Linked DNA regions of Caenorhabditis elegans. The protein of the gene in region 1 interacts with the protein of each later gene in a pairwise test. Each region holds a gene or a part of one and is shown on either strand. Other genes may lie near its edges. The genes, in order: dhs-14 and lin-39.

What was found.
Region 2: the proteins of dhs-14 (region 1) and lin-39 interact in a two-hybrid assay, tested with the Caenorhabditis elegans proteins (2 studies listed by BioGRID).

What each region holds. Positions count from the first base shown.
Region 1 is NC_003283.11:2,763,487-2,767,412, reverse strand, and holds dhs-14 (DeHydrogenases, Short chain), read left to right. Parts: upstream 1-2,212; 5' UTR 2,213-2,218; coding exon 2,219-2,255; intron 2,256-2,305; coding exon 2,306-2,733; intron 2,734-2,779; coding exon 2,780-2,950; intron 2,951-3,190; coding exon 3,191-3,394; 3' UTR 3,395-3,432; downstream 3,433-3,926. Other genes in the region: cror-2 (DeHydrogenases, Short chain), read left to right, coding at 1-419, 722-892, 936-1,142.
Region 2 is NC_003281.10:7,534,759-7,538,684, reverse strand, and holds the start of lin-39 (Homeobox protein lin-39), read left to right. Parts: upstream 1-2,052; 5' UTR 2,053-2,095; intron 2,096-3,926. UniProt on the Caenorhabditis elegans protein: Transcription factor.

The DNA.
Region 1 (3,926 bases):
ACGGAATTGGGCGTGCTGCAGCTGTTCTGTTCGCAAAAGACGGAGCAAAAGTTACAGTTACTGGAAGAAATGCTGAAAGGCTTGAAGAAACTAGACAGGAAATTTTGAAGTCAGGAGTTCCGGAAAGTCATGTTTTGTCGGTTGCAACTGATTTGGCAGCTGAAAAAGGTCAAGATGAACTAGTTAATTCTACAATTCAAAAATTCGGGCGCCTTGATATTCTGGTCAACAATGCCGGAGCAGCTTTCAACGACGATCAAGGACGTGTTGGAGTTGATCAAGATGTCTCAGTTTACGATAAAATTATGCAGATTAACATGAGAAGTGTGGTTACTTTGACTCAAAAAGCCAAGGAGCATTTGGTTAAGGCTAAGGGAGAAATTGTCAATGTCTCGAGTATAGCTGGAACAGCTCATGCGGTAAGCTAGGTTAAAGCATATTATGACCTCCGGTAGTTTTTGCTCTGGTAAGACTTAATGATCTAGGAAAAATTAGATTTCGGGGAATTTTATTACTCGCCGCTGACTTAATTTTAGAGTAGTTTGATCAATCGAAAATCAGTTTTGCAAATCGAATTATTGCCTGGTAGCCTAGTAGGAGTGAGCGGCAATCGGCGATCGGCGATCGGCGATTTCTGTAATTTTTCGGCCTGTTGCTCAGCCCTGCTGGTAGCCTGGATTCCCGTCCCCAAATATGAGTATTAAAATTTGCATGTTTCCAGCAACCCGGAGTTATGTACTACGCAATGTCAAAGTCGGCTCTCGATCAATTCACCAGGTGTGCAGCCATCGATCTTATTCAGTACGGGGTACGCGTGAACTCGGTGAGCCCGGGAGGTGTCACTACCGGGTTTGGAGAAGCTATGGGTATGCCGAGTGGGGCGTTTGAGGAGGTGAACATAAGACACAAATTCCTAGAATTTTTCGAGTTTTCAGATGATGAAGTTTATGGAGTCCCGCAAGGAGTGCATCCCTTCTGGAGCTGTAGCTAAACCAATCGATATTGCCAATATTATTGCGTTCTTGGCTGATCGTAAGCTTTCTTCCTATATTATTGGGCAGTCGATAGTAGCTGATGGAGGATCTACACTGGTCTTGGGAATGAATGCTCACAACTGGGCGGATCTTATGAAGCAATCTTAAATTTTGTTGGATTTAGTGGTGAATAAATATTGGAACTAGTGATTTTGTTGTACAAAACAGGGATGGACGGCAAGCTATGTTTTCCGGCAAATTGGCAAATCGGTAAATTGGTAAATTGGGAGAATTGATATTCCGGCAAAAATTCAAATTGTCAGAATTGAAATTTTCGGTGAAACGGCACACTGCGGGAATTAAAACTTCCGGCAATCAGGCAAGTCGTCAAGCTGCCGGAATTGAAATTTCCGGCAAATATTCAAATTGCCGGAATTGAAAATATCCGGAAAAATGGCAAACCGGCAAATTGCCGGAATATAAACTTCCGGCAATCAGGCAAATCGTCAAACTGCCGGAATTTAAATTTCTGACAAATCAGCAAATCGATAAATTGCCGGAATTTAAAATATTCGGAAAATCGGCAAACCGGAAAATATTCGATTTGCTGAATTCGCCGGGAAACGGCAATTGCTAAAAATTGTCGGCAAATTGTGGTTTTGCAAATTTTTTTTTGAAATTTTAGAATTTCAATTTCAATCGGCAATATCCTGTGAATGTTCCTACATACAATTTAAAAATTAAGCAAATTCTATGAAAATTTCTAAAGAAAACGGGGAAAAAAATTTAAAAAGGCACAGTTTTAAGTGTTTCCGTCTTATAAAAAATCCCTCTAAAAACGGTAAATCGGCATTTTACCAATAGTCAAAATTTCCGGCAAACCGGCAAATCGAAAAATTGCCGGAAATTAAAATTTCTGGCAAATCGGCGAATCGGAAAATTGCCGGAAATTTAAATTTCTTTAAAATCGGTAAGCCGAGCGGTAGAGGGCTACATCGGGCATGTAATGTAATCGTGCAGAATAACATCGGTCAAAAAATTGGTTCGAACCACCAAAAAAGGAATTTCCATTTTTGTGGTATCAAAAGTCTAGTCATTATTTATTGACATAATATTTTTATTTTCTTATCAATATAAGCTGCCACAGTTTGCTTAAAGCACATCACAGACCACATTTCAACAAAAAAATCACGCAATAAAAGCATTGATTATCAGTATCAATATTTAATTTCTACACTACTGCTATGACTCGATTCTCTGGCAAAGTTGCTCTTGTGACAGGTATTTTTTTCAAATTTATTTTTCTTCATTTTTATAATGAATCATTGAAGGCTCCTCAAACGGAATAGGTAGAGCCACTGCTGTACTTCTGGCTCAGGAAGGAGCAAAAGTTACGATTACTGGAAGAAATGCTGATAGGCTTGAAGAAACTAGACAGGAAATTTTGAAGTCAGGAGTTCCGGAAGATCATGTTTTGTCGATTGCAACTGATTTGGCGACTGAAAAAGGTCAAGATGAACTAGTTAACTCTACAATTCAAAAATTCGGGCGCCTTGATATTCTAGTCAACAATGCCGGAGCGGCTTTTAATGACGATCAAGGACGTGTTGGAGTTGATCAAGATGTCTCAGTTTACGATAGAATTATGCAAATTAACATGAGAAGTGTGGTTACTTTGACTCAAAAAGCCAAGGAGCATTTGGTTAAGGCTAAGGGAGAAGTTGTAAATGTTTCGAGCATCGGAGCAGGACCACAGGCTGTTAGTTCCTTTTCTCTTCACTTTTTTACCCACTTCTGTATTTTAGCAACCAACTTTCATGTATTATGCAATGTCAAAAGCCGCATTGGATCAATATACCAGAAGTGCTGCCATCGATCTTATTCAGTACGGGGTTAGAGTCAACTCGGTGAGCCCTGGAGCTGTAGTGACAGGTTTCGGAGAAGCAATGGGAATGCCTGCTGATATGCATGAGAAGGTGAGAAGCCTCATAGTAGGCAGGCACTTTTGCAGATCTGCCTACTTAAAATACAAATCCTTGACACGTCATTTTACCAAAATTTAGTTGTAGGAAAATCTGATTTTTTACCACTTGTTCAAAAATATTTTGAACAATCTTTTTAAATCTTTTTAAATCTTTTTAAGCAGGAAGGTAGGTAGGTGAAGCCCAGGGTAGGTTTTACAAGCTCTTAAAATTATTCAATTTTCCATTTTTCAGTATGGACATTTCATGGAATCTCGCAAAGAATGTATTCCTTGCGGAAAAATGGGGCAACCCATCGACATTGCCAATATAATTGCGTTCTTGGCTGATCGAAAACTCTCTTCATACATTATTGGACAGTCGATTGTGGCAGATGGAGGTTCGACTTTGGTAATGGGAATGCAGGCACACAATTTTATGGATCTTTTGAAACAATAATTTTTGTATACATTTTTTTAAAAGTAAATTGTTTTATTAAAGTTTTTAACAGGCAACTAAAAAAATTTCCGTTTGAGTTAACTTTGACGGATATAATCCACAAACATGAGCCTAGAGTAAAACCTGAAGTGAAATTAAAAAATAAAAATAATTCCTATGATTTTCCCGTATTTTTTCAGTTTTGGAAAAAATAGCTTTTGGTCAAATACTGCAATTTTCTCTAACAACCTTCCGTACAAGGTAGCCTACTTTGTTTAACATTTTCTGGTATAAATTACTATTGACAGATCCATTTTTAAAAACATGCTTTATTGGATGCCACTGAATCTGAAAAAAATATATAAATTTTAATTATTACGCTTAGGCGGTATATATATTATAGGCTTATCCTTAGGCTTAGGCGGGGCTGGGGGTGGATAAAAATTGAGACTCTCCAGCGAGAAATTGGAGTTTTGAACCTGAAAAAAATCTTGAAATATGAGAACTTTTCGGTTAGACAAAAATCTAGCTCGAAATATTTCACTCTGTTTTT
Region 2 (3,926 bases), on another chromosome or scaffold:
AGCCAAACCTTACCTGTGTTCTTTTAAGTGCGGGTCTATTTTCTGACAAGCTTATTTTAATGTTTCGAGTTTTTGAGAATTTTCGAGCTTTGAGTAAAAAGTTTCCACTCATTCTGAAGTAGACGTATAATCTAACATTCTTGATATGGCAGACAGTCTAGAATCTAGTTTAAGACTTTTTTCAATCAGAGAATTAAATGTTTTACTATATTTAGGGTTAAGTTACGCTAAAGTTTCCAGATGCTTATATTCTAGATCTTTTGAACCCTTTTCGTTTGACTTTTTCAGATATAGTTCATAACTCCAATTTTCCAAACTCGCTACCTCTTTTCTCATTTTTCACCAGGCATCCCCCGGTGGTTCAATTTCCTTTCCTTTCATTTCTTTTTTGTCTTATGCTTCAATGTATTCATTACTTTTCCCTCTTTTTCTCGTCATTTGATTAATGAACTTCCTACTGTAACTCATTCTATCTCGTTTCTGTTTGCACTAGATTGGAAGACCAAAAAAAATCAAAATGAGGAATTGTCGAACATCAATTTGTAAAAGAGAGAAGATCCCTACACTTCTTCAACCTATTTTTTCTTGATTCGTGTACCTACAAATGAGTAATTGGATGCCATTCATTCCACACTTCTTGATGCTTCCTGACACTCATAAATCACTGTAAAAGAGACAGGAAATAGACTTGAGTCAATTGCATAATCACTTACTAATCATTTACTCACTTTTTTTTTTTATTTATTACCACAGTGTTATGCAATTCTTATCTCCTTATCTATACTGTGAGAGGTGTGAGGATATTGGATCATTTATAGATTGAGAAAACTGATAATGAAATAAAAAATGTGATGTGTTTGGGTTATTTCCTTTTATAGTACATTATCATGTGTTGTGGCTCTGAGAATTTGTAATTCTCTATGTACTGTTAATTTGAAAATTTTATTTTAATCAAAAAATTAAAAAAGACTTTCAAAGTTAACAAAAGTAACACATTTTAAGTTTTATAAATAGTTTAAATATCTCTGTTTGCATGTTTACAGTAGGGAACTTCTAGAACTTTATTCTTTCATTTTGTAAGAGGCGTTGGAATCAATTCAGTTGCAGTTGGCATTTCTGAAACCTCAAGTTTCGGGAACTTTTACTTTTAAGAACAAGGTGAGGCACTGCTGGAAATCTCGAAGCAATTTCAGATGCCTTGCAAAATCTTGAAAACATATTAAGCGTATGCTTCAGTTGTAGACTTTTATATTTAGGTATCTTGACAATTCCAAAAAATAGTGTTTGGTGTCGACCAAGTATTGATAACATTTAATTTAGCTAGAAATAGCTAGAAGCTTAAATTTTTAGAAAATCTGATCAATGACCTAGAAAAACTTCAACGTTTTTCAAAATTCCCATAACGCCGTTTTAAAATTTCACAGAAATTCGTCTTTTGGTCATTTGAACTTTTTGTGCATACCAGGCATTTGGCTCAAAAAGCGGACTATCAGATGTTGGCAAAAGTTGGTAAGAGCTTTGACAATACTTGTCTTAGACTATGTTGTCGAAACCTTGCTCAATTTCTGCTCAAGTTTTAGCCCAAAGCCGAGATACTCTCCCTTTTTGCCATTTTTCCAATTTTCATGTAACAATTCCATATCTATAAAATCAGAGAGTTCATAAAATTGAGCACATTTCGACTGACTCTTGACAACTTGTCCAATGGGAAAAAGTTGGTCAAGATTTTGTTCCTAAAAGCGGCAACTTAAAAGCGAAAATTCATTCTGCTCAACTCTTCTACTCTTGGAGCCCAAAAGCTTACGGTACCTGTCGTTCTCACCCCATGTCCATCCAGCGCTGTCAGTGATGAATTGAAAAGGCGAGAGCAAGAGATGTGCTCTCGGCTCCACGAACCTCTTTGATCTATGCCGACAGTGGGGGAGATTGGAGAAGAAGCATGCTCCACCCTTCACGTGTATCAGTACGTCTGCGTCTTCTTGTGCGTGCCGCCCGGATTAGAAGACATGAAGTGGGAGGGCGATAGAGGAAATTCCGATGGCAATACCAACAATAGAATTTTGGCAACATTTTTTTACGACCTTCTAGAATTAAGGTAAATCTCTCTTTTTTTAAATCCACTCCTGGCACAAAGCTTCTCAAAGTTCTAAATGAAACTGGAACTTAACTTTAAATAAGTTGAACCTAGAGGTCACCTGAAAAAGTTATAGGAAAATTCTCTACTATTTAAAACGTAGTCTTTAAATTTTGCAAGTTATGTACTTCAAATATCAATTTTCCACCTTTGTGGCAGAAAACGTTTAAAATCTAGTTTATTTCGGAACCCTCTTATATTTTCGCAAAGTTATCGACTAAATTTCAGTATTTGAAACATTTTTAGATACTCGGCTTTGGCTTCTGCTGTTTTTTTTTTGTTGTAGGAATTTATTCAAATTACCTGCGTTCCGAAAAAACATTTTATGTTGCATTATTGGAGAATATACCATTGAAAAATTGAAAACATATCTGGAAGAAATGAGCCCAGATTAGATGTTGCACTTTATGAGGCGTTGCGAAGGCGCCTTTTTACCGTGTTCCCGTTATTCTGCCGATCATTTAAATAAATTGAATCTCACCCTCGTTTAATTTGTGAATCATAGAAGAAAACAAAATGTAATCTTACTTTAAAAAAGCTATTATCACAACTTTAAATTATCCAACTTAAAAGCTTCATTGTCAGGTGTGTGCGACAAATCTACCGAAATTGCTGAGTTCGTCAAATTTCGAGGATTGCCCACAGCCTCAATATTTCTGAAATTTCATTTTGTAATCAGTAGTCACATAAATATTCAAGACATGGAGAATGTGTGGAATAGTGTTAGGTAACATTTCAGAGCTTAGGCCTACAGAGAAAACACATAAAGACTTCTAGTCCATACTTCTTCTTGACCTCATAGATTGCTTACTAGTTTATATAAAGCTATTTAGAGCAATTATCCAATCTTATAAGGTAAAACCCGCGGGTCTTAAACCATGACCACCCACTTGAGCACACCCACAAAAACAATTCGTCTCTCGCAGATTGCTCCTCAATTTATCACCATCATCTTTTCTCTCTCCATTTCCAACTCTTTACTTTTCTTCTCTTTTTGTTCTGTTTCCGTTCTTAAGCTTTTGTTGTTTTCCTAGTTTTAATGATTTCCTAAGGATTAGGTACAAGTAGTTGATAGGTTGATCTAATTCCTTTTGATGAATGCAGTAATTAAAAAAAACAAGGTTCTTAAATTAAAATTTAAAATCTATCAAACGGTAATTATTGCTAATTCGTGTTCTGAAATTTATTGGTTTCAATTATATGTGCCCAGGAATTTTAATAAATTTTAAAGCTCTGATCACCTGTAAAAGAAATTGATGGTTGCTGAAAGTTCTTCAAAATTTTAAGAACTGAATCATCGTATTTAACTTTTGTGTTGAAAATTTGGGCTCTTGGGAGATATTGATCCGGTCATTGATTGCGATTGTACACGTATCTCTGAATTCTAGACTAGCAGCACAAATTGTTAGTTTTCTTGCTCTCACTACAATTGTTCAAATTTAAATACCTATTCTACTAGTTATTCGGTTTTTGAAGATATGTAGACTTTAGGAATATCTGAATGATCTACTTCAATGAAAAAAATTTGATCTCTTTTTTTAACTACTGCATTCATCTCTATCGTCCTCTTATTCTATTCCCTCATCCCTTCCGCTTTCTGAGACTCCACCCTTCGTCCAATAGGAGAAATGGGCGGGATCGGGGAAGGATGGCGCCCGGTATTCTGTCTCTTTTGCAATGGAAGAAAAGAGGAGAAAGAGGGAGACGTCACATTTTTAACAAATGTTCAACCGCCCCGACGCGCCTCTCGTCCTCATTTATTATATCACCTCGTTTCCCCTCCCTCCCCTCA